Saccharomyces cerevisiae S288C: one gene and its partners. The gene in region 1 interacts genetically with each later gene. Each region holds a gene or a part of one and is shown in the gene's direction. Other genes may lie near its edges.

Evidence for each region.
Region 2: mutations in RTK1 (region 1) and ROY1 together harm fitness more than expected from each alone (negative genetic interaction), as found in Saccharomyces cerevisiae (one large-scale study listed by BioGRID).
Region 3: mutations in RTK1 (region 1) and YOL019W-A together harm fitness more than expected from each alone (negative genetic interaction), as found in Saccharomyces cerevisiae (one large-scale study listed by BioGRID).
Region 4: mutations in RTK1 (region 1) and TCM62 together harm fitness more than expected from each alone (negative genetic interaction), as found in Saccharomyces cerevisiae (one large-scale study listed by BioGRID).

Annotation. Positions count from the first base shown.
Region 1 is NC_001136.10:402,350-408,949, reverse strand, and holds RTK1 (putative serine/threonine protein kinase RTK1), read left to right. Parts: upstream 1-1,743; coding exon 1,744-3,606; downstream 3,607-6,600. Other genes in the region: putative acid phosphatase DIA3, read left to right, coding at 1-499; MRX9 (Mrx9p), read left to right, coding at 3,993-5,255; serine/threonine/tyrosine protein kinase MPS1, read left to right, coding at 5,659-6,600. UniProt on the Saccharomyces cerevisiae protein: Probable serine/threonine-protein kinase that may be involved in ribosome biogenesis.
Region 2 is NC_001145.3:780,445-786,919, reverse strand, and holds ROY1 (Roy1p), read left to right. Parts: upstream 1-2,638; coding exon 2,639-4,300; downstream 4,301-6,475. Other genes in the region: tRNA methylation protein TRM732, read left to right, coding at 1-2,299; PET111 (Pet111p), read left to right, coding at 4,889-6,475. UniProt on the Saccharomyces cerevisiae protein: Non-SCF-type F-box protein involved in the endocytic with the vacuolar sorting pathway. Acts as a repressor of YPT52 by inhibiting the formation of active, GTP-bound, YPT52. Involved in the defense mechanism against methylmercury toxicity.
Region 3 is NC_001147.6:286,632-291,722, forward strand, and holds YOL019W-A (uncharacterized protein), read left to right. Parts: upstream 1-1,788; coding exon 1,789-1,941; downstream 1,942-5,091. Other genes in the region: aromatic amino acid transmembrane transporter TAT2, read left to right, coding at 1-1,319; TOS7 (Tos7p), read left to right, coding at 2,267-3,922; t-SNARE syntaxin TLG2, read right to left, coding at 4,250-5,091.
Region 4 is NC_001134.8:322,591-329,069, reverse strand, and holds TCM62 (Tcm62p), read left to right. Parts: upstream 1-3,010; coding exon 3,011-4,729; downstream 4,730-6,479. Other genes in the region: protein phosphatase regulator GIP1, read left to right, coding at 1-897; QDR3 (Qdr3p), read left to right, coding at 5,125-6,479. UniProt on the Saccharomyces cerevisiae protein: Chaperone. Required for the assembly of succinate dehydrogenase subunits. Ensures mitochondrial gene expression at elevated temperatures and prevents heat-aggregation of the ribosomal subunit VAR1.

The DNA of each region.
Region 1 (6,600 bases):
ATACAAATTGATTAAATCTATAGGTGCTAATTTGTTCAATGCAACAGTGAAGCTAATACGACAAAGTGCGCACTTGGACCAAAAAGTTTGGCTGAGCTTTACGCACGATACTGATATTCTAAATTATTTGACAACTGCTGGATTGATTGATGACACTAGAAATTTAACAACCAATCATGTTCCCTTTCGTGATCATTCCTACCACAGGTCGTGGTACATTCCTCAGGGAGCTAGAGTCTACACAGAAAAGTTTCAATGCTCAAACGATTCGTACGTCCGTTATGTGGTCAACGATGCTGTGGTTCCTATAGAGAGTTGCTCCAGTGGTCCAGGTTTTTCATGTGAAGAGGGCACATTTTACGAGTATGCCAAAGACAGATTACGAGGTGTGAGCTTCTATGAAGATTGCGACGTCTCCAAAGTTAGCAAAGAAAAGGAATTGACGTTTTACTGGGATTGGAACACAACAAGGTATAACGCATCCTTAGTGAATCAATAAGCCATGCATGGGCAGAAATAAAAAAAAATAGGAAATTGTCTTTACATAACATGGTCACAAAGTAATATTCCGCATCGTTCTTCCTTCAGCAAACCGAAGGGGAGCGAATTGAGCCTTCAAGCTACATCTAAAAGAGATTCCACTAACAAGTTCTGCGGTTATTACATATTTTTGTACTACAGAGAATTTAATTGCACCCGCTTTATCACCCTCGTTATTTATATTCTTTTCTGGAATATTTAGATATGCGTCATTTGATTATTGTTGTTTTTTTTTTTTGTTTTTTTACTTTCATTACATCGCTAAATATAATATAAAAGAGATGAACGGCTATTCTTTCTGAATATCGAAAGTTAAAACTCGGATAGAAAATTCACAAGAACATAAAAGAAAACTTCCGGATTTCAAAGGCGGTTCTGGTATTGGGAAACTTCCACAACATATCTCAAATTCAAACTGAAAAGTCCTCAGTGTCTTTTATTCGAAACTCCGGGAAAGCACTGCTTGAATGGATTAAGTAAACTTGAAATAAATTTTTTACTTCTACAGCTAAAATGTGAAATATAGTGTCCGCTTCCACCAAAGGCGTTTATTTTCTCGAAATGAACCTGTGAATAACACAGCTGGCTCCAACTCAAACACTCAACTGCGTCATTTCTTATTCGCTTTCCAAATCATGCATGATTTTTCTTTCTCTTGCCTGCAGTGCTCGTTTCACCGCTCGCGTACTCGTCCATTCTTTGTCAGCGAAGAGGCTCTAACAGTGGAGAGCACATCTGGCAAGTAAAATGATAGGTTGCGCAAGGGGGTAGGGGAATGACTAATAAAGCATTACTACCATCATACCAAGTTCCCATTCATGTACACATAGTCTCTTTAATTGCCTTCTTGAATGGAGGCCAGTAGATATTTGGAGAAGCTTTTCTTGCAGTTCGGGTAATATCGAACGGCGTACATCTATAAGGGGAAAAGCTACTTCCGCTTCTCATATATCTATTTTGCAGTGTGACTCTTCCTGGCTTGCTAAGTATTGTACCTGTTATGGGGCAAGCAAGATTTCTCATTGAAAAAAGATATAATACTTATTTGCAGCCAATAGTGACGGATTCTAGTGTTCTTCTTTTCCATAAGTTGATTACGCTATTCACCCAAACTGACTCTTTAGTGCGCTAATAAGCTGAGAGGATTTGAGAGGGAAAAAAAGAGAGAAGGACAGAAAAGAGCAGCCTGAAATTCATAGCATAATGGTTAAGGAAACTCCATTACACTCATCTTCATCAACTTCGCTGTCTTCATTATTTAGGCCAACTAAGTTGAAGAATTTATCGGCTAAAATATTCAATGGAGGTGGTAACCAATCATACTCAAAGACAGATGATGTTTCAAGGTCTTCTTCTAGATCTTCAAAAAAGAATACAGATTCTGACCAAGAGGATCAAATAAAGTATAACAAACCCAACGACCGAAGATCTACCATAGGAAAGAGCCCCCAGGGAAATGGCGCGTTGTCAAAGGAGTCACACGTAGTAGCAAGTTCTACTTTGACAGGTATTTCTCCTACTTCAGCTAAAAAAGCTCCTATTGACTACTCTCCTTCACGGCCCTTACCTAACAATCATAATCCCGTTCGTACGGGACACACTGTGCCCCACTTACCCCATAGTATTCACAATCCAATAAACTACATTCATCAAGGCTCAAAAGATGCTTTCCACCATCCTCACCCCGTTCGCTCTACAGCTCATAGCAACATTTCTACAGTGTCTTCTGCAAAATCTGATACACCCTCTTCGAATTTATCATACCAGGCACATATGCATCCCGTAGAGATACTACAGAAACAGATTGAAGACAAACACTTCATGGACTCTCAAGCCTCCACCCCTGGGTCCGTGGAACTACAGCATAATTCTTCAAGCGGTAGTGATGATACCTCATCAAGAAAGAAAAAATCCTTGAGATTAACAAGATTTTTCAAAAAAATTCATAATGATTATCACGATAACCATCATCATCACCACCATCACAACCGTGGATCCACCCCTACAAAACCGAAGCTCAATTTGAACACCAATGAAAATATAGTAGAAAGTAACGGAAAAGCGTTATACGAAACAGATAACCCAGTGGAGCTATTAGAAAAATATGGTATTCCTGGTAGAAAATTAGGCGAAGGAGCTTCCGGTTCAGTGTCCGTAGTAGAAAGAACAGACGGCAAGTTATTTGCTTGCAAAATGTTCAGAAAACCACACTTAAACAATGAAGGAACTAATCAGTCTCAATTAGCTAATTATTCTAAGAAGGTTACCACTGAATTTTGTATTGGTTCCACGCTGCACCACGAAAATATCGTTGAAACCCTAGATATGTTGACTGAAGGTGACACCTATTTATTAGTAATGGAGTATGCGCCATATGATTTTTTTAATCTCGTCATGAGTAACCTAATGACACAAGATGAAGTCAACTGTTACTTCAAGCAGCTGTGCCACGGCGTTAATTACCTGCACTCTATGGGCTTAGCTCATAGGGATTTAAAATTGGACAATTGTGTCGTCACTAAAGATGGCATCTTGAAACTGATTGACTTTGGGAGCGCTGTAGTGTTCCAATACCCTTACGAAGATACCATTGTAAAATCACATGGAATCGTGGGTTCTGACCCTTATTTGGCTCCTGAGTTATTGAAACAAACATCCTACGATCCAAGAGTAGCAGATGTGTGGTCTATCGCTATTATATTTTACTGTATGGTCCTTAAAAGATTTCCTTGGAAGGCTCCAAAAAAGAGCTTCAACTCATTTAGGTTATTTACTGAGGAACCTGAGGACGAAGATGATATAGTTCGGGGGCCAAATAAAATATTAAGGCTACTGCCAAGACATTCACGGACAATAATAGGCAGAATGTTGGCTTTAGAACCAAAGCAAAGAGTTTTAATGAATGACGTGGTAAAGGATGATTGGCTTGTATCCGTCCCCTCCTGTGAAGTTGACCCTACATCTGGCGATTTGGTTGAAAAACCAAAGAATCATAAGCATCACTTGGTCACTGAGGAGGAGTTGAATGAGCTGACCAAGCAACACGGGAATAAAGATTCAAATTAATGAAATAAACACTTTTTAAAAGATAAAACCTAAAAAATTGTATATAGAAGATTCAAAGTACTATAAAAGGCATTATATAGGAATAAAAGATGGTGTGCATACAGGTGAAAAAGAAAACTAGTTAAATCTGGAAAAAAAAAACGCTCATATATATACAAAAACATAAATACATTCGTCAAAACAAAAAGCGCTTAAATAAATAAAAGCATTTTTTAGATAATCTCAACGGGCGCCAAATTGAAGTCACCCGACGCATAAAATTGTGAACACGCCCTATTAGATTTTACAAAGAGGAAGTCTCCTCCCCTATAAACTGCAAAGAATAATTGAAAAGTGATTTAGCGCAGATAAATAAGACCACCATAACCACATATGAGTAGGAAAAAATGTTCAAAGTTCCAGTGGGATTAGCCAGTAGGACAAGGGAGCTTATGAACAGCGTTACGCTCAATAGTCTCAATAATGGAAAGGGTTTCAATATGTACTTGCCAGGAATATTAAGGGCTTTTCCTAAACCAGTGCCTTCGGCGATTACATCTCCCGCAATTCCAAAATATCGAGGAGAAAGTTTCCAGTTTCGTAAGCTTTCATGCATTTCTTCTAATTATTGTTCTACCACTCACCAATTTCTATCCAGTCTGAAAAGCTCGACATCCAGGTTGGTTGGTAAAAGAGCCTTCCATTCGTCACGACGTGCAGAAATAAAGTTTATATTTTCTTCGAAGTCACCAAAGAACGGTAACAAGCCGTTTGTGAAAGTATATAAAGTCTCCCCATTTTTTATCATATTTGCAACTGCAAGTATCTTCACATTCATTCTAACATCAACGATAGTCGTTATTCCCTTAATTTTTCACTTTTTTTTTCCCCTTCTTATTATGTTCTTTTTTTTTAAACAATTCAAAAAATGGCAGAAAAATATCTTTTACAAAGATGTCTTGACCTCCTTACCGAAAACAAAATTGAAAATAACATTACCCACCATGAGATCATTACAATTACAACCTATGGTTCAGAGTTGGAAAGAGATATCTTCCAGGATGGGAATTCCAAACGAGTTTGCCAAAGGTTTGAATGTTGATTTAGTAAAGCAAGAAGAAACCAGAAAGCAGTTTCTAAGTTTCCTGCAGAAAAGAGTGTTGGAGTCCTTCACCAAGAACGAACTGGGAATAAGATCCTACTTTTTAGGAGACAGCGTCGAGAAATGGATCAAAGAATCCTATGACTTGGAACTCGATATTGATAATTGCCGAAGTGAACTCAGAAAATTCCAAACTTTCATATTTTCCAGTGTTCGATACAAGTTGTATTTAGACTCAATGAAAAATTTACCGCTAAACCCTTCAAAAAAACTCGAGGGCAAGAAGCATATTGCAGACGTATATGTCATTATTTTAGACGAATCCTTTCCTGCAATAATGTTCAATGGCGGAGCTTATTCGAAGGCTGATTTTTTCAAGATATTACAAGAAAGTGAAACCTCTAACAGCAGCAAAACCCTTAACACAATTATTGCCATCAAAAGTGTAAATACGCTACTATCAAAACACTTTGTTATCACAACAAATGGTGATTCTGGAGAATTCTTTTCAAAATATAACATTTCAAAAATAAACGACAAAAACACTGAATACACCCTAAAAGAGTAAAGAACATTAAAGTTTTTGTTTGAGCATTACTGTGATGCCACAATTTATATATCATACATGTTTATATATTCTGACCAATACCTTTATTTATGGTGTGCAGTGACACAAAATAATTTTTGGTGTCACTTCCATCGTATTAAATGATAATATCAATTAGAAATAGTAAACAAAACCAAAAAAAAACTACCAAGGGTTGCAAAGAGTAATAGTGATGTTTATGTGAAGGCAAGCTTAAAGAGAATTTAAGATCTACTATATTAATAGTAACCTACAAAATTTATAGAAGCCTACTTGACCCAGCCCACTGAAGTCTGAATAGGAATATTGCAGTTGTTTATAGAAGTAGCTTTACAACCAAAATAATAAATTGTTTCTGCAAGAACTGGATGATCTCAAAACAAACATGTCAACAAACTCATTCCATGATTATGTGGATTTAAAATCGAGAACTAATACACGACAGTTTTCAGATGACGAAGAGTTCACTACGCCTCCAAAACTAAGCAATTTCGGATCAGCTTTACTTTCCCACACAGAAAAAACTTCAGCATCAGAGATATTATCAAGTCATAATAATGACAAGATCGCAAATCGATTAGAAGAAATGGACAGGAGTTCATCAAGGAGTCACCCCCCACCGTCAATGGGCAATTTGACATCCGGTCATACTAGTACCTCATCGCATTCAACCTTGTTCGGACGATATCTGAGAAATAATCACCAGACTAGCATGACGACGATGAACACTAGTGACATAGAGATAAATGTTGGAAATAGTCTTGATAAGAGTTTTGAAAGGATAAGGAATTTGCGACAAAATATGAAAGAAGATATTACGGCAAAGTATGCTGAAAGGAGAAGTAAGAGATTTTTAATATCCAATAGGACAACGAAGCTGGGTCCTGCAAAGAGAGCGATGACTTTGACAAATATCTTTGATGAGGATGTGCCTAACTCTCCAAACCAGCCAATAAATGCAAGGGAGACAGTGGAATTACCACTTGAGGATTCTCACCAAACAAACTTTAAAGAAACGAAGAGAAATACGGATTATGATTCAATTGATTTTGGAGATTTGAATCCTATCCAGTATATTAAAAAACATAATCTTCCCACAAGTGACCTTCCACTAATATCTCAAATCTACTTTGATAAACAAAGAGAAGAAAATAGACAAGCAGCACTCCGAAAACATAGTTCCAGAGAATTGCTTTATAAAAGTAGGTCTTCTTCCTCTTCACTTTCTAGTAACAACTTATTGGCAAACAAGGACAATTCTATAACATCCAATAATGGTTCTCAACCCAGGCGAAAAGTTTCTACTGGATCATCTTCATCTAAGTCA
Region 2 (6,475 bases), on another chromosome or scaffold:
AGTTATAATAAGTCACGCATTTAGGGCGATAAAAGAAGCATCATATTTACTTGAAACAATATTAAAAAAATACCCTTTAACAAGAGATCAATTAGACAGTATCGGCGATCTTTTTATTGTTCAGCTTTCTACTATTCGTCATAGTGGCGCCTTCCAAGCCGTTTTACCGGGGCTAAAGGCATTTTGTATTCGTTGTCAACTTGAATTTCCCGCTATTCTGGAAGAACTTTTAAGCAAGAGTGTAAAATCTTTAAAATCCAAAACTCAACATATTACAAGAAGGTCAGGAGGCTTGCCTTTCTTGGTCACAACCGTCTTAAGTGCAGAAGTTACCAAAGGGAGACCTTTGTTACAAAAAACTTTTGAAAACTTACTACTCGTTGCAAGGTTACCAATTCCTCCCCATCAAGATGAGTTTGATTTACCACAGGTTAATGCTATTAATTGTATAAACGCAATCTTTGTTGAACCGAAGCTCTCTGTACACTGTACGTCATTTGTCTCAGAGGCATTAGAACTAGCTTTATTGAATTTCGACTGTGATATATGGGCTCTAAGAAACTGTTCTATCATGCTGTTTACCTCCTTGCAAAATAGAATTTTTGGAAAAGTGGGCAGAAGCGTTAGTGCAAAATTATTCTTTACCAAATATTCTGGCTTGAGGCAACTGCTTTTGAATATTCTAAACAGTTCTATTGCTCAATATTCGGGAAGTGAAAGAAAATCATATCAAATTGAAAGCATTTTCTTGGTCCTTAATGTGCTACTGAGGTTACGGCCTACAGCTGGCTATACTGGTCTAAAAGAATTCAACGTTTCTGTTTATGAATGTTTATCAAATGAGAACTGGAAGATCAGAGATATGGCCTCTAGAGTATTGCATATGCTGTCGGAAAATTTTGAAGAAGAGATAAGAAAATTACTTGACTTGGCTTCTATCGCGAAGCAAAACCAGTTACATGGACACTTACTAGCACTCCAACAACTAGTACCACAATACCTTTCAGGAACTAGAGATATGGAGTTGATTCAAAGGATACTTGAAAAGAAAAGGATGCTTCTACTAGAGAACAAGTGCTTTATCACTAAAAAGGCCTACTTAAAATTGACCTGCTGTATATTGGAAACATGCGACATACCTGATTCTATTTTAAAAGATTATATCAGCACTTTGCGGAACACATTTATTGCTGAAAATAACGAATATGTTGTGGATGGTAGCAAACAGCTATATCTTGCACAAATCTTAGACATGCTCTTAAAATATGAGGATAGTATATATCTCGATGATATTTGCTTATTAGGATTGTATTCTCCATTTTATGAGGCTCAGCTCAGTACACTACAGTACATGAATACTAACTTTCACTGGGAAACTACAAGAAACTCAGAATTTCTTGAACAACTACAATTATTACTCAGGGTTCCAGATTTGCTGCCTATGGCTAAAGCTTTAGTAGTGAAAATTCTCTCAAGAAAAAAGAATACTTTATCCCTGACGACCTGCACTGATCTCCTAAAAACAAATAATAGTGAAGATACAAAACTTGCTGCCGTTTCATCACTAAGTGCTAAATTGTCTTCGCAAACCTTTCACCAGGTATGGAACTTGTTACAAGGATTTTTCGCCGATTCTTGTTCAAAAGATTTTAGATTGGCATCTTTAGAATGTTTAACTGCTTATCCAGAAAGTTGTAAGAACTCCAGAATACTATTACAACTGTACAACTTCTTATGGGACGATGATTCTGAAATAAGAGAAAAGGCTTCTTTTTATTTGAATAAGAACTTTATTCAAACTGCAGACTGGGAATATAACAGGAACACCAGTGTGACCGCTCTTATATTCACAAAAAAGTTTGTTGACGTATTCACAAGTTCTGAGGTGGTAGAAGAGTTGTGTTTACAGTTGTTTCAATATCTAAATGAATATGATATGTTTGCTGCCGAAGAATCGGCGAAGAATTGTCTATTTACTATAGAAAAGGATAACCAGTTCATCAACGAACTACAAAAGGCAATGCATATATTAAATATGATAAAATTGACTGGAAGGGATATCTCAAAGTGTTACAAAGACCAGATACATCACCTAAAAAGTGCTCTATTGGAGCACTTCAACACCGAGGATTTTAAAGATTCCCCACTCGGCTGGTGCTCTAATGCTGAAATATTTTCAAGAATAACGCTTTTAAAGGAACTGATTCAACATTATTCTCCTTCTGATTATGAGAATTTTATCAATGTTCTGACTAAACATTCTGTTCATCCCCTAATTATCAGTTATTCCCAATTATAAATAATGAATATGTACAGATATATACTTTGCATATAATCTGATTCATCTCTAACCTACTTGTGGATTTAGTGACGAGATTCATTGTGGAACCTATTACAAAGCATGTCGATTTCTATTCTAAATACAATGATGGAACTTGATTTAATTTCTTTACCGTTGTCATTTTCTTTTGAATTTTTTCCACCTCTTTTTTTGTTGAAAAATGTTCATGGATGGAAAATTAAAGGTGTGCCCTATTACAAAAGCAAGTTGTACCCCTTTACTAACTCTCTAGTCAATTTGAACTATTGTGAAAACGACAGTTGTGCTCACATGATATAACAAAAGTAATACTGACAAATGGCATTCCAAGATCAAGATATATTCATAGTGTTCTCGCATGCCTCCTTATTTCTTAATCAAAATGATTTATTAAGCCTAAGTCTAACATCCAAAAAAATGCATGACATGATTGCAATCCCTCGTCTTTATAGCAATATTCACATAACTAAGAATCCTGTTTTAAGAACAAACAAATGGTTTTTGGACGGGGGAAAAACTTATGTAAGTGGTTATAGATCTGTTCTGAAAACCGGTGACAAGAATGACATATTTTTATATGATAGAATTGAAAGGTTGTTGGAGACATCGCATTTAAAATGTATAAAACAGCTGACTATTGACGAGGATTTGTTTCACAACAGGGAAGAAGGATTGCAACTGTTACAAAGATTGGTCAATGAAATCACTGACTTGGACGTGATTGAAAGTCTTGACATCAAGGATCCTACCTTGTTTGAGTTATGTTCAGCAAAGTATTATCGCCTGTCAAGTTTAAAGAAGAGAGTAGTATATGGCGAAACTGGATTTGATGGTATCAAATTATGGCAAAACTTCAAAAGCTTAAAATGGCAATTACCTGAATCGTTGGATTTGCAAAACGTAATAATCCCTGAAGTGGGTGTAATGTTAATGAAGCAACTTAATGGAGGAGAGTTAGAAATAAAGGACGAAGCGTACTCAAGCCTAAGGGTCTTTGAATACTTTGATTCCCTGAACCTCCGCTTCAAGAATCTGCGCCGTTTGAAGCTTAATCATGTTCACAAACAAGGTGATGGGAGTGCTACTTCTATGAGATTATCTTCACGCGCGTTTAAGGATGTAGTTAATTTATCCAATCTTAAAGCCCTTGAATTAGAATTTTCTTGTGAGGTGGACGACTGTGAATGTGATGATGACTTTCTTCAAGATATAACAGGAAACCTTGTTTCCTTAACAAGTCTGGGGTTCATTGAAAAGACATTCACCAAAAAAGGGTACCATTACATGGACGAGAAATGGGACTTGGTCGTTAATAAGTTTATTTTAAATTTACCAAACGTGAGTAAAGATTTGCGTTTGTTAAGCATACGACATGACCCACCTTTAAATGGCAAGGGCATTGATACTGTTGATGGGAACTTGCTTCGCCGTAAAAAACTTTATGAAAAGGTTTTACCAAAGCTAACTTCGTTGGAAACAATAATAGCTCCAACTGTATTGCAGTCCATCACCTCATATGAAATGTATGCGTGTGACCTTTTGTGGAACGGCTGCAAATGTGCGTTCTGCTCCAAATACTTACCATTATTTGATAAGTACATCATGAATCATCAATACTTTTCGACCCCGGATGCAAGATACTTGGATATTATACCGATAGTGTTTGCAGCATATACTGGAAAATCTCTAGCTAAGAGGTTTGATCCTCAGAAGAACTGGGATTTGGATTTACTACAGTATGCCCCTGAGGATACGACGTGGAATTTCCATGGCTTTGAGAGAATTCATCACTTTGCAAGTTATGAATGTTATTTTGACGAATCCTCATTTGAGCCCTTAGCCACTATTATATCGCATTTTTTTTATCCTTACATGAACTACTTGATAAAGATATTGCCAAACCTTCGCCAAACTATGTTGTCAGGAATATACTTTAGCGTGAGCCCAGAATTACACACTTATGAAACTATTTATGATTAAACTTGATAGTTGTGATAAACATTTCTTATGTACATTTGTTGAAGGAGTTCGTATATATACAGCCAGTTGAGTAATAATTATATTTTACTATTGCATTTCATAATTATTACCCGGACCTTACGAGTTCTTCGAATAATAACCATATATTTCAGAAAGGTAGGCATACCGAAGGAAGAGACAATGAAAAAACTGAAATGAACAAGCTTCTGTATACGATCCAAGGATCAGAAACGGTTGTTATTTATTGTTTGGACTTCTTGTTGTTAGGCTTTATTTACCGTGCATAATACTATCTGATACTTTGAGAAACCCCTCCCCCCACAGAAAGGTTCAAAATTTACAATTGCTGCACTAGGTCTACACTTTCCTCTAGATTTGTAACTTGAAGACCCCATTCCAATCGTTTAACCTGTCTTTCCTTTTATTATCGTTTTATTCTCTTCCTTTTTTATAAAATTCTATCTGGTATAGAGCATTTTTATGTTGATCATAACTTTTCATGTATTCTATTAATTACACCACAACTTTGATATCGTCAAATTTTTTATCACTACCTATTAAATTTAAACAATTGCTTACGAGAACTTAATGTTACAACGGAGATTTATATCCTCCAGTGGTATAAAGAGATTACTTCACAGAGAATCAAACAAGGTTATGCACACTGTTTTCTTTAAAGTACGATATTACTCAACTGAGTTGATCAAAAAAAAGCATAAGGAAGATATTGAGGATTGGGTTAAAGCGCAACTAAAAGATTCTTCAACAATAAGCGGTGTGTATGAGTCTCGGAATAAACTCGATTGGATGGACTCCATTACCAAAAGCCCCAGCAGCTTAGATATTCTTAAGAATCAATATAATATAGTGAAAGACAAAGATTTTGGAATATTGTGGAAGCAAAAATTCGAAAGTGCAGATCCAGATATTTTGATGACAATAATTAGCCTTTCCACTAACCAAAAGGTTTTGTTTTCAATACAGCAATTACTGATCTTAATAAATTCTCTTCACTTTTTGAAAAGGGACTACGATATTGGACAAATATACACAACATATGAGCAATTCACGCCCTTATTAGCAAGCCACACTGATAAAGGCACATATGGTCAGTTCATCGAAATTATGTTGGTAGTACAGCATAATTTACATCATTTTGATGTCTGTGAAACTTTATTTGCAGAATATATCAAATATTGCAAAGTAAAGCCACAAATGATATCTTTAGGATTAAACTCTTTCATAAGGAGTAATAACACTCAACTAGCGGTGGAATTTTACACGCAAGCAATTACCAATCCTGATACATTTCCAATAACTGAAAAGCAGCTTTTTGAGTTTCTCCGATGTATGGAAAGATATCTAGATATGTCCAGTATGAAACACATCTTTTATCTCTGGTTGAAAGTGAAATGTGGTGATGAGCAATCCTCTTCAACTAACCTTCCCTCGTTCAAAACCCTCGCGATAATACACAGAATGTTATTACGTTTTTCTAATACAGATGAGCTAAACGATTTTTTAACCAATCCCGTTGTTTTAAGTACGGGATATACATCAAGTGTGCAGTTTGAGTTGATTGAATTTTGTCATTCTCTGTATTGCATCAAAGGAGACAGAACAAAAAGCATTGATGACTCAATATTGATGGAAAGAGTTGATAAATTTATTACCAGACTTAATAATAATATTTCAACACGAAAAGAGCTATATATGTCAGTGGTTCAAGCGTACGTCTCTACTAACAATTTCGAGAATTTAAAAGTAATCTTGGAAAAAATCCAGAGAGATAATGATATTAGCATAGACGGTTCGTTTCATTTGTGCATTTCTAGGTATTTTGTCAACACCAATCAATTCGAAGGACTTTTCAAATATTATCGCAGTGTAGTTAAAACCACTGATGGTAAAACGCGATTACGGCCCGCATTTATTCAACAATTATGGTCATGTGCCGTAAATGTTTATCCAATGCTGGCAAAAGAAATTACAAATGACCTACTTGTGACTCTAAAAAGGAGCCAATACAGCAAATGTCTCACTTGGGTGTACACATTTTTACAAGAAAATGCCCATATCCATACGAGAAAGATCAATGGAGGAGAAGACTCTTCGTTATCTGGTTTCAACGCGGTTGATTTTGAAAGGTTTGAAGAGTTCAAGAAAAAAGTTTCT
Region 3 (5,091 bases), on another chromosome or scaffold:
TTTTGGATCCAAGTATAAGTTTTGTTGTTTCGACCATATACGTGCTACAGTGGTTTTTTGTATTACCCTTAGAAATCATTGCGGCGGCAATGACCGTACAGTACTGGAACTCGTCTATTGACCCCGTAATTTGGGTAGCCATCTTTTATGCTGTTATTGTTTCCATAAATTTGTTTGGTGTACGAGGTTTTGGGGAAGCGGAATTTGCATTTTCCACCATAAAAGCAATAACAGTTTGCGGATTCATTATATTGTGCGTTGTCCTCATTTGCGGTGGAGGTCCCGACCACGAGTTCATTGGCGCCAAATACTGGCACGACCCTGGTTGTTTGGCCAATGGGTTCCCGGGCGTTCTATCTGTTCTTGTTGTTGCTTCGTATTCTCTCGGTGGTATAGAAATGACGTGCCTGGCATCAGGTGAAACGGACCCCAAAGGCTTACCAAGTGCTATCAAGCAAGTGTTTTGGAGGATCTTATTTTTCTTTTTGATATCACTGACCCTGGTAGGATTCCTGGTTCCATATACAAACCAAAACTTACTGGGTGGTTCATCTGTGGACAACTCACCTTTTGTCATTGCCATAAAATTGCATCACATTAAAGCCTTGCCCTCCATCGTCAATGCGGTCATCCTTATCAGTGTTTTGAGTGTAGGTAACTCCTGCATCTTCGCTTCAAGTAGAACGTTGTGTTCGATGGCCCACCAAGGCCTTATTCCATGGTGGTTTGGTTATATCGACCGTGCTGGTAGGCCACTGGTTGGCATTATGGCAAATTCACTATTTGGATTACTAGCATTTCTGGTCAAATCTGGCTCGATGTCTGAAGTTTTCAATTGGTTAATGGCCATTGCCGGCCTGGCCACGTGCATTGTCTGGTTGAGCATCAACCTGTCACATATCAGATTTAGACTGGCGATGAAGGCTCAAGGGAAGTCTCTGGATGAATTAGAATTTGTTAGTGCTGTCGGGATTTGGGGATCAGCGTATTCCGCTTTAATCAACTGTCTAATCTTGATAGCTCAATTCTATTGTTCACTATGGCCCATTGGTGGCTGGACCAGCGGCAAAGAAAGGGCTAAAATATTTTTTCAAAATTATCTGTGTGCCTTAATCATGTTATTTATATTCATCGTCCACAAAATTTATTACAAGTGTCAAACAGGCAAATGGTGGGGGGTTAAGGCGTTAAAGGACATAGATTTGGAAACCGATCGTAAAGATATCGACATCGAAATAGTCAAGCAAGAAATTGCCGAAAAGAAAATGTACCTAGATTCCCGTCCATGGTACGTGAGACAGTTCCATTTCTGGTGTTAATACCGAAGAAACAAGTTCAATTTATTTTTGTAGAATATTTTTTTTTCTCTTCTCTAGTACTCATCCTTCATAATTAATTATTCCAGATCATTTAATGCATAACGACATGACAATAAAAAAAAAACCTGACATTTTGAAAAATTATCATTTGAATACGTGGATGAAGACTTCTTCGAGCCAGGCCGCAATAAAATTAATAATATATATAGACATCAATTCTTGACCTACACAAAAATAGCTTCTCTCGGTAGCCAAGTTGGTTTAAGGCGCAAGACTGTAATTTATCACTACGAAATCTTGAGATCGGGCGTTCGACTCGCCCCCGGGAGATATTTTTTTACTTTTGCACATCGCTGGTCTTAGCTTTTTTACTTGATTCGCATTGCAATCTATCTGCCAAGAATGAACAAGTATTTTTTTCCTCTGCATCTTTCCCTGCCGTAGGAATCAAATTTGCAACAAGTCTGCAATGTCTAACACCTTTGTTGCAGTCGAATTCTCGTGGCTGTACGCAATTTCTCTTATCCTACCGTGTGAAACAATTCGCGTCGCGTGGGCGCCGAAAAGGGCTTATCACGGCACATCTGAAGAAAAGAGACGGCTGGCTCCAGCTGATATTTAGATATTTTTAGTTGAATAAAGAGGCAGGCGTCAGCGATATTGCATTGTCGCTGTGGTGGGCAGAAAGCCACGGTAATGCATGTCCTGTTGTCTCTTATCCTTGTTGATAAGAAACCCTCTTGATCAGCTAGTCATAATTTTGTCTCTTCTTGCATTCTCTTTCCGATATATAACTTATATCTTCAGGTGTCAGGCAATAGAAACAACAAGGCACAGCGTTAAAAGACCATCATTTCATTTTAGCTTGTCCAAGCACATACCATTTTTCACTCAAGCTATAGCAGAGAAGTTAGTAAACATTAATAGATTATAATATAAGAAAGGCTATGAAGAAAAATTCTTCGGTAGTTTTCTTCCTTGTGGGTCTATCACAATTCGTCACTATGGCGTTTCTCATTATCGGATCCATTACGGCTCCAATTTTCAAACAAATAGGCTATTCTAAATATGATGAGATCACATACGGTACATTCGGCTACTGTAAAGAGGGCTCCTGCTCAAAAGCAAGTTATAATTATCACCCCGATGAGCTATCAGACAGTGATAGCAACTGGAAACTCAATAGCAACGCTAGGTCTATATTGGGGAAAATCATCTTTATCACACCCATTGCTGCTGGTCTTAATTTTTTGGGATTTCTTTGTACCATCATGAGCGTTTTATTAATTAACGTGCTATCCAGTGATAGAGTTGGTAGTGCGTCTGCCATCATGTTTTTTGTTAATTTGACATTTTCCACTCTAGGCTTTCTTTCTGCTTCTTTGATATGTATCGTGGTATTTTTACTGTTTTACCCACATGTAACCTGGTGTTCATGGGTCCTGATACCAGGAGCTGCTTTATCTCTACTAGTAATTCCTTTGATATTCTCAGCTTATTCAAGAAGCTCAGGCTCAAGGGATGATGACGAAACCGAGGAACTGGAAGAAAAGGGCATGCTGCTGAATGACCCATATCTAAGTTCGAAGTCCGGGAGATTCGATATCGACGCTGATAGTGAGGCCAACCTCCGTGGTGATTCAAGAACGAATTTATTGGGTGACAATTTTAAGAACGGTACTAATATCACTGTTGTCCCAGATATTATTTCACACAATCAAGATCCGAAATTATCAAACATAACCACTTCTACCACGTCTGATATTTCTACTTTCGATAAAGAAGCAAAGGACATGGAAAATTCAAATGGTTCCGGACTTAATGAAGAAGAGGACGATGGCATGGCCTATGACAAAAGGAGGTCAACTTCAACGTATTCTGTCATTGAAAGTGAAAGTGGCTTGAAAAATGGGAGTGTTTCTAATAATTATGTGAGAAACAATGGTAGTAACACCAGCAACAATATAAACTATAAAGTTCCGCTAGGAAAAACGGAAATATCATCCAGTGCATCATTAGCGTCCTCAGACTACTCTCAAAGAGAGGTCATACCGCACAGAAATCCTTCGAGACTACTAAACGACATCATGGAGACCTCCTTCAATGAACCAAACGATAGCCACATCAACAGCATGTCCTCCTACAACGATAAAGATTCAACGTTGACTTCAATATCACAGAGAGGTGTCAATCCGGAAGTATACAATCAAATGCCTCGAGAAACAGCCGCTGGTCCTGCAAATATAAGGCCGTACGCTGGTCAGCCACACCCGGCGCCATTAGTGTATCCCCAACAACGACTACAACCACAACAACAGCAACCACAGCAGCAATATCATCAATACAATTTATATCAAAGAACTACTCCTGCTGGTCCAGATCCTTCTAATGTTATTTTACAAAGCAATCCTTATTTCAACGTTGCCCCAAACCAAGTGCCACAGCACAGAAATCCGGTACCAGGCGTCGGTTTTGCTCCGAATCCTTTACCAAACCAAAGCCCGATAACACAAGGATATAAGCCTGCCTATAAGAGGAGAATGCAAAACAAAAACTTGCCCCGAGCTACTACTTCACTGAACAATCCTTACGGATTTAGGTAAAAAAAGAAAAATGAAGGTTCTTTTTTTTTTTTTATATTCTACAAATCACAATAACCACCAACTTGTATTAAACCATATTTTATCATCTTCAGGAACTACTTATGCACAATATTCGTTCGCCAGTCTTTACTTGCGGTTCAATTTTATCCCATATAAATTTGTATTTTATTATCATACTACATACTTTATTGAAATCATATATTAACCTTTTCACTTTTCTCAAATAGAACGAGCAACAGGTCATATGAACGCTGACTAAATCTCTCAATTTTCTTCAAAGCATATTATAGTTCAAAATCGCGATGCGGTACCGTGAAAGTTTTGTCATCAAAGTAGGTCATCCAAAGCATCATTCTCAGATTCTGTTACTTCAACGATACTCGGCAAGTTGCTCTCTTCGTCATTAATATGGGTATTACTGCCGTCATCATGACTGTTATTAACTGTTTTATTATCATCATTGTTGTACTTGTTGCTACCATTATTACGACCACCACTGCCACCGCCATGTGGTTTCAACATAACAAAGAAAAAGAGCGCTATTACGCACAATGTTAGTAATAAAATGACTTTACATTTTTGAGTTCTCTTCTGGTAGTGTGTTGCTTTATTCAACTCTTTATCTGCACTTTTTAGCTCTACCACTGTATTTTCCAGATTATAATCAATCCTGTCCACAATAGTCCCCTGGTCAACAACCAAATCTTGCATTTCCCTGAAAATAGTGCTCACTTCTAATACACCCCTTGCCAACTGAGTAATTTCTTCGTCACGTTCTCTCAAATATGCTTCTGCAGAAGTGTCATGAAGCTGTTGCTGTCTCTGCAACGTCCTTTTTGAATAGTCTTCAATATCGAGGCCCTCTCTCTTCTCTCTTGCTGCCTCCTCTTCCTCATCATCTAATAATAGCGTGTTCTCTGCACTGGCCTTATTGCGGATAGGTTTCAAATCATCCTTGTTCAAGAATTTCAAGTAATTATTTTGTAATACTCTGAACTTATTACTTTCAGTTTGTATCTTTTCTGCATAGATCTTCTGTAGATTATCTAGTATAATCAGCTCTTCTCGACTTAATTGCTTACCATCCACAAATTGAGAGTTGTATATGGTCTTTAATCGTTTCATAACAGCGTAACATTTCTGCAGCATCTGAATTACTTTGAAACTTA
Region 4 (6,479 bases), on another chromosome or scaffold:
GACGCAATGGAAAAACCAATTGAAGTGAGCTCGGCCTTAAAAGATGATACATTGGATAAAGACATAGATGATGCGAGCAGTAGCTATTCGGATGATGTAGAGACCACATTCGAGCCAGTTGAATCTGAGGAACTTTCCGATTTATCTGATACAAGCTCAAGTGGAAGTAGTAAAATTTATACTATCCCCACATTTCGCGGCCTTACTAATAGGACCAATATATCACAAATTCTTTCAAAAGTTGGTAAAGCTGATTTAAGCCAAGATAACTTAACGCATTTGATCAAAAGTCATCAAAAAAAGAAAAGATGCGTGAATTTTAGAAATAAAAGATTCTATGATGCTTTCAATCCATATGTTGATAACGAAGAAGATGCAGAGTTATCTGACAGCGAAAACATTTCAGAAATGGATACAGATCTTTGTATAAAGGATCGGAGTACCTCAAGTGTTAGGTTTGATGAAAACTCACGTCTTTTAATCTACAAAAAATCTAAAAAGTTAAACAAAGATGAGACTCAAAGTGGTTATTCGACTACTGAAATGAGGTCAATTCTAAAGACAAAGATGAATTCACAGCATGATGAGGAGTCTCAGAGAGCTTCGAAGTGTGACACAGTAGGTGTAGCCCAATTTTTACATTATTTTCAATATACAGAGTATAAAAGGCAGAGAAATGAAGCAGAAAATTATAGACTGAGAGGAGAGCAACTAAGCAAGTACTATTCTGAAGAATATCCTTTGGATTTTGCGGCTGTTGAATGCGAAGATTCCGTTAATGATAAATCTGATATCATACTTAGTATGAGAGCTACGGAAAGAAACATTGGTAGGCAACTGAAAGGTATAAGTAGTCAAGGGGCACAAATTATATCGCTTGATGAGGATGTTTTTTGAGCGAAAAAACAACACTTAACTGCCAATACTCTGTAAAATTGTTTTCACTTTACATCAATACATTATCTACGTGATTATACATATAGTTATGCATTTGTAGCTAAGAGGGAATCAACTACTGATAGTTAGTATTCAGTGAATAACATAAAAAAGCATTAGCATACAAAGATAATACGCCTGTGCAATTTTTTGCCTATCAAATGCGCCTTTCTAGACAAGATATTTGGTTGAATATGGGTCAGCTATCTTCTATCTGTCGTTACCATATCAGTTTAAGACTACATTGTTAATATTGCTGGAATAGGATTATAAGCGGCGTTGGAATCGACCGCACAAACTACTTGGCTATTTATATATGATTCAAAATTCAGCACCTGATTTAGTAAAGGCAGAACTTTGACGATTGGTAATGTGTTAGAAAAATGTTCTGCAATGTTATATAGAATACGGCTTTCTTTATGTGAATTTTGATATATTGGTGGATTTTGTCATAATTTTTGGGATTTCGTTGTTGTTAAGGTTATAACATTAGGAATAGAGAATATGATAAAGGTTCTTCCCCAGGATACAAAAATTTACAAAAGAGATTGATACTTTTACGTAATAAGGCTACTATTTCTTTCTCCATTTTATATATTGTCACCCATTGTCCTACTATATTTTATTTCAGCTTCCCAAACATCTGATGACTGTTTTTCAATCTTTATATCATCTTTTTTACACTGTATATGATAACATATAATAATATGACTACTGGTAGACAGATGAAGGTTGATTTTGAGATATTGGTGAATTTTGAGGTAATTCTTGGGGTTTTTATTGATTAAGGCTATAATATTATGTATGCAGAATATACTAGAAGTTCTCCTCGAGGATATAGGAATCCTCGAATGGAATCGATACTTCTACATAATAATATTACGATTATTCCTCATTCCGTTTTAAATGTTTCATTATCATATTACATTATCAATCTTTGCATTTCAGCTTCCTTTAACTTCAATGGCAGTTTTTTCATAGCTTATGTCATCATCTAACATCGTATATGATAATACCAGTAGTATAACTATAGTTGATGGACGATAGTTGATTTCCATTCCAACAGATTCTTATTCCAACAACTTTAATATTATCTTCTTGATGTAGTTGCACATAATATAGAAATACTTCGTAGGGAATTAGCATCCCCTCAACTTACAAAACATTCATTGAATTTACCAGTTATAGGGCATGCGTAATGCTTTTAGATGAGATATCCAATGTATACAACTAACCGATATCCAAAAATGACATAGTATCGAGTTCCGGGTCCAATGGTCCAGTGGTTCAAGACGTCGCCTTTACACGGCGAAGATCCCGAGTTCGAACCTCGGTTGGATCAAACTCTTTATTTTTTTAAATTTGCTACTTTAGGTTCGTAGAAAGTCTCTAGGAATGAAATTATATCTTCTGCGTTCGAAAAGAGTAGCTTTAGTTGAAGAAGTTTTGATTTGAAGTGCATTAATGTCTTCCGCTATCTGTGGGAGTGAAGGCATCATTAGAGATAGATCTCAGTGATACCTAATAATACAAGAAGTAGAAATAAAAAATGTGCCCCTAAAAGTACTACCAAGGTATCCGAATTGATTCCTTACGCAGACCTCCCCTATCACAAAATTGAGATGAGGAAGTAGCCAACCTGGTCCTATAAACGTTTAAGGGCAATACGACCGAGTTTTCATTTATTCATTTATATGAATTGCTCTGTCGTGTTTCTCTCTCGGTTCCAGCAGTAAATTTAATGAATCCCCCAAACATTACGGAGCATTCATTACAGATCGGTGGCACCGTTGTATGGATGTATTGCCTTTTTGGAACAATACATCTACTTGCCGAACGTTATGTTTTAGATGGGTCCGCTTTTAATAGTTTAGGTAATTCTTATAGGATTGAAAATCTCGGTAACTAAAATCCGTTATGGCTTAAAAAAATGTAAAAAATAAAGGCCCTTTCTTCCATTCCCTGTGAAACAAAAGTTTCGATAGTGCGATAGTTTACCTTTTACGAGCTTTAACCTGGCGTTATTTTCTCCCACACTACTGTAAACATAAAACTCTCTTATGCTTTAACGAGTATGCTGAGGAATTGTTTGAGGAAATTGGGAAATCATCAAACGAAATGTTCGGTAAAAACGTTACACACCCCAATCTATAGAACAAAAAACCTTCAGGTTCTCAGAGATACGCTCTCTGGTATTAAGCTGTTGGAAAAAATAATAACTTCATCCTCCTACAATAAAACATTGATATATGAACCTAAGTATAAATCCAAGCCACAGGTCGTTAGTTCTCATGATACCATGAGACTTCACAATGTAATGCGTGAGTTACTAGATTCCCTACAAGTAGATGAAGCTACCAACACACGACTTCAATCAAACAGGCCTCGAAAGCTGGGGAGGGTTGGTCTACAATTATTCATGGATTGCATTCAGGACAACTTAACAGCAACTTCAACATCTTTGACATGCTCTTTACTGGAGCACTATTTCAAGTATCCCGAAAAAGAAGTGACCAATGGGATCAAGGCCGGATTACGATATATCAGAGATTTTCTTGCGAAGAACAAGATTATAGTGAAAAGTCAAAACGATGTTGATGCTCTGGTCGAGCAATTGACTATGTCCTCCTCAGACAGCCAAAGCATCAAAAGGGTTTTGAAAGCCATTAATTATGAATTGTTTTCGGATGACATTGTGCGGGTCATAAACGGCAACAAAACTTACGATGAGGTTGATGTATCCAAGGGTTGGAAATATCCAGCTGGTATTTTAGATAGTAATGAAGCCTATTTAAGGTCCCTGGAGTTGCCTACTAAGAAATTAGTTTCCATTGATAAAGATATGCTAGTTCTTATGTATGATGGGACGTTACGAGACGCTAATAAAATTCTACCCACGATAACGTATGCAAGAAAGTTGAGAAAATCTGTTCTCTTAATCGTTAACGGAGATTGCACAGGTGATGCATTAACATCCGTTACAATTAACAATAACAGAAACAAGAGAGAAAATAATGAAAGCCGAATAGTGGTTTTGAAGTACTCTAAAAAGGCGAACAATGACTTAGCGCCACAGGAGAATCTTGATTTTATAAAGTTCTTACGGTTGCCTTGCGGATATGACAGCATCTACTCACCAGAATATAGTCCTTTAGTGCCAAGCAAAATGTGTGCGGATAAATATTACGGCAGTATCGAATCCATAAAAGCGACCACAGGGGAGGCATTCTTATATAACTCCATTGATGCTGAAGCGATTCCAAATAAAGTTCCGAAATCCTTCCTCCAAAATACGGTCACTTTAAGCATTGGTGGACATAACGAAATCGAAATCGACAGAAGAAGAAATGCAATAGATAATTGCTTAAATAACGTCCTATGTCATGGGCTGGCCAAAGGTTTCATCCCAGGTTACGGCATCTCCCTACTGAAGGCAATTCCAGGTTTGAATGAACTGAAAGCAAATGAACCCAATTTCATGACTAAGGTAGGCATCAATGCTGTTTTATCAGCAGTTATTCTCCCATCAGAAGTGGCGTTTAAGAATGCATATGGGTACAACTATTATGAGATCAATAGCCTGATAGCAGGCGCTATAAACGAAAAATCGTTTCCAATGGCCAAGTTTTCTCCAAATTCAGAACCGGTGAACACAGTAAAGGATGGAAACTTGGAGCCATGGAGCAAAATGGATTCTTGTTTAGCCGGTGTAGAAACGTTCATTGAATTACTTACAAGCTGTAATACAATTATCACATGTGTATACAAAAAGCCTGAACGGCACAAAGCCTAGATAAAGCCCTTACATACTTTTAAATAGTCAGAATGAGTCATTGTAAATAGATATTGCCACGGCGCTGCCTTTTATCACTTTTACCTCTTCGTAAATATCTATTATTCCTGCTCAATTTCTCATATGCGGCTTCGGAAAAACTCGGGTTTTTCCACGCCTCAGCAGTAACTCCATCTACCTTTGGGGATTTGAACCATCTCATTCCAGTTTTGGATAACTGCGATTAGATTAAAATATTAAAAGATTATCGATTAGATAAGATAGAAACCAACAAAATTTGTTGTAATAGCTGTGTCCTTGTATCCTTAAAAGAAAACAGGGTTGAAGGCATATGTATTCACATCTTTCTAACTTGTTAACGTCTATGCTAGGACCGAAGTCAGAAAGCGATAAACATGCAAGCCCAAGGTTCACAATCGAATGTAGGGTCTTTGAGGAGTAATTGCTCTGACAATTCACTACCGAACAATCATGTTATGATGCACTGCGATGAAAGCAGCGGCAGCCCGCACAGCGAGCACAACGATTATAGTTACGAAAAGACCAATCTGGAAAGTACGGCATCAAATAGTCGTGAACACAGAGACAACCAGCTAAGTAGGTTGAAGAGTGAGGAATACGTTGTTCCAAAGAATCAACGTAGGGGACTATTGCCTCAACTCGCCATTATACCGGAGTTCAAGGATGCCAGAGATTATCCACCGATGATGAAAAAGATGATTGTCTTCTTGATTGCGTTTTCCTCCATGATGGGCCCCATGGGCACATCTATCATTTTTCCAGCGATCAACTCAATCACAACAGAATTTAAAACATCAGTGATTATGGTAAACGTTTCAATTGGTGTGTACCTTTTAAGTCTTGGTGTTTTCCCATTGTGGTGGTCTTCTCTATCCGAGCTAGAGGGCAGAAGAACTACTTACATAACTTCATTTGCATTATTGTTTGCATTTAATATCGGGTCTGCTCTAGCTCCTGATATCAACTCATTTATTGCCTTGAGAATGCTCTGTGGGGCTGCTTCTGCCAGTGTTCAAAGTGTAGGTGCTGGAACAGTGGCTGATTTATATATTAGCGAAGATAGAGGTAAAAATTTGAGTTATTACTATTTGGGTCCACTACTGGCGCCGCTACTATCTCCAATTTTTGGATCTTTGTTAGTGAATCGCTGGCCCTGGAGATCCACTCAATGGTTTATGGTTATTTTATCCGGATGTAATGTCATTCTTTTGACGGTGTTACTACCTGAAACATTAAGAAAACAAGATTCTAAAGGCGCTATCGCTCAAATTTTGGCTGAAAGACGTATTCAAGTAGACAATAACGAACGTGGAGAGATACAAGAAGATTATCAGAGGGGAGAAGATGAGACAGATCGAATTGAAAACCAAGTTGCCACATTATCTACTGAGAAGCATAACTACGTTGGAGAGGTAAGGGATCAAGACTCGCTAGATTTAGAAAGTCACTCTAGCCCCAATACTTATGATGGTCGAGCTGGAGAAACCCAATTGCAACGGATTTATACAGAGGCGAGTAGAAGTCTGTATGAATATCAGCTAGATGATAGCGGTATCGATGCAACAACAGCACAAGTTACGAGAATAAGATCAACAGATCCAAAGTTAGCGAGATCGATTCGAGAAAATAGTCTGAGAAAATTACAAACCAACCTGGAAGAGCAAGTCAAAAAAGTGCTATCCAGTAATGGAGGTGAAATCGCTCCTAAACAGGTATCAGCGGTGAGGAA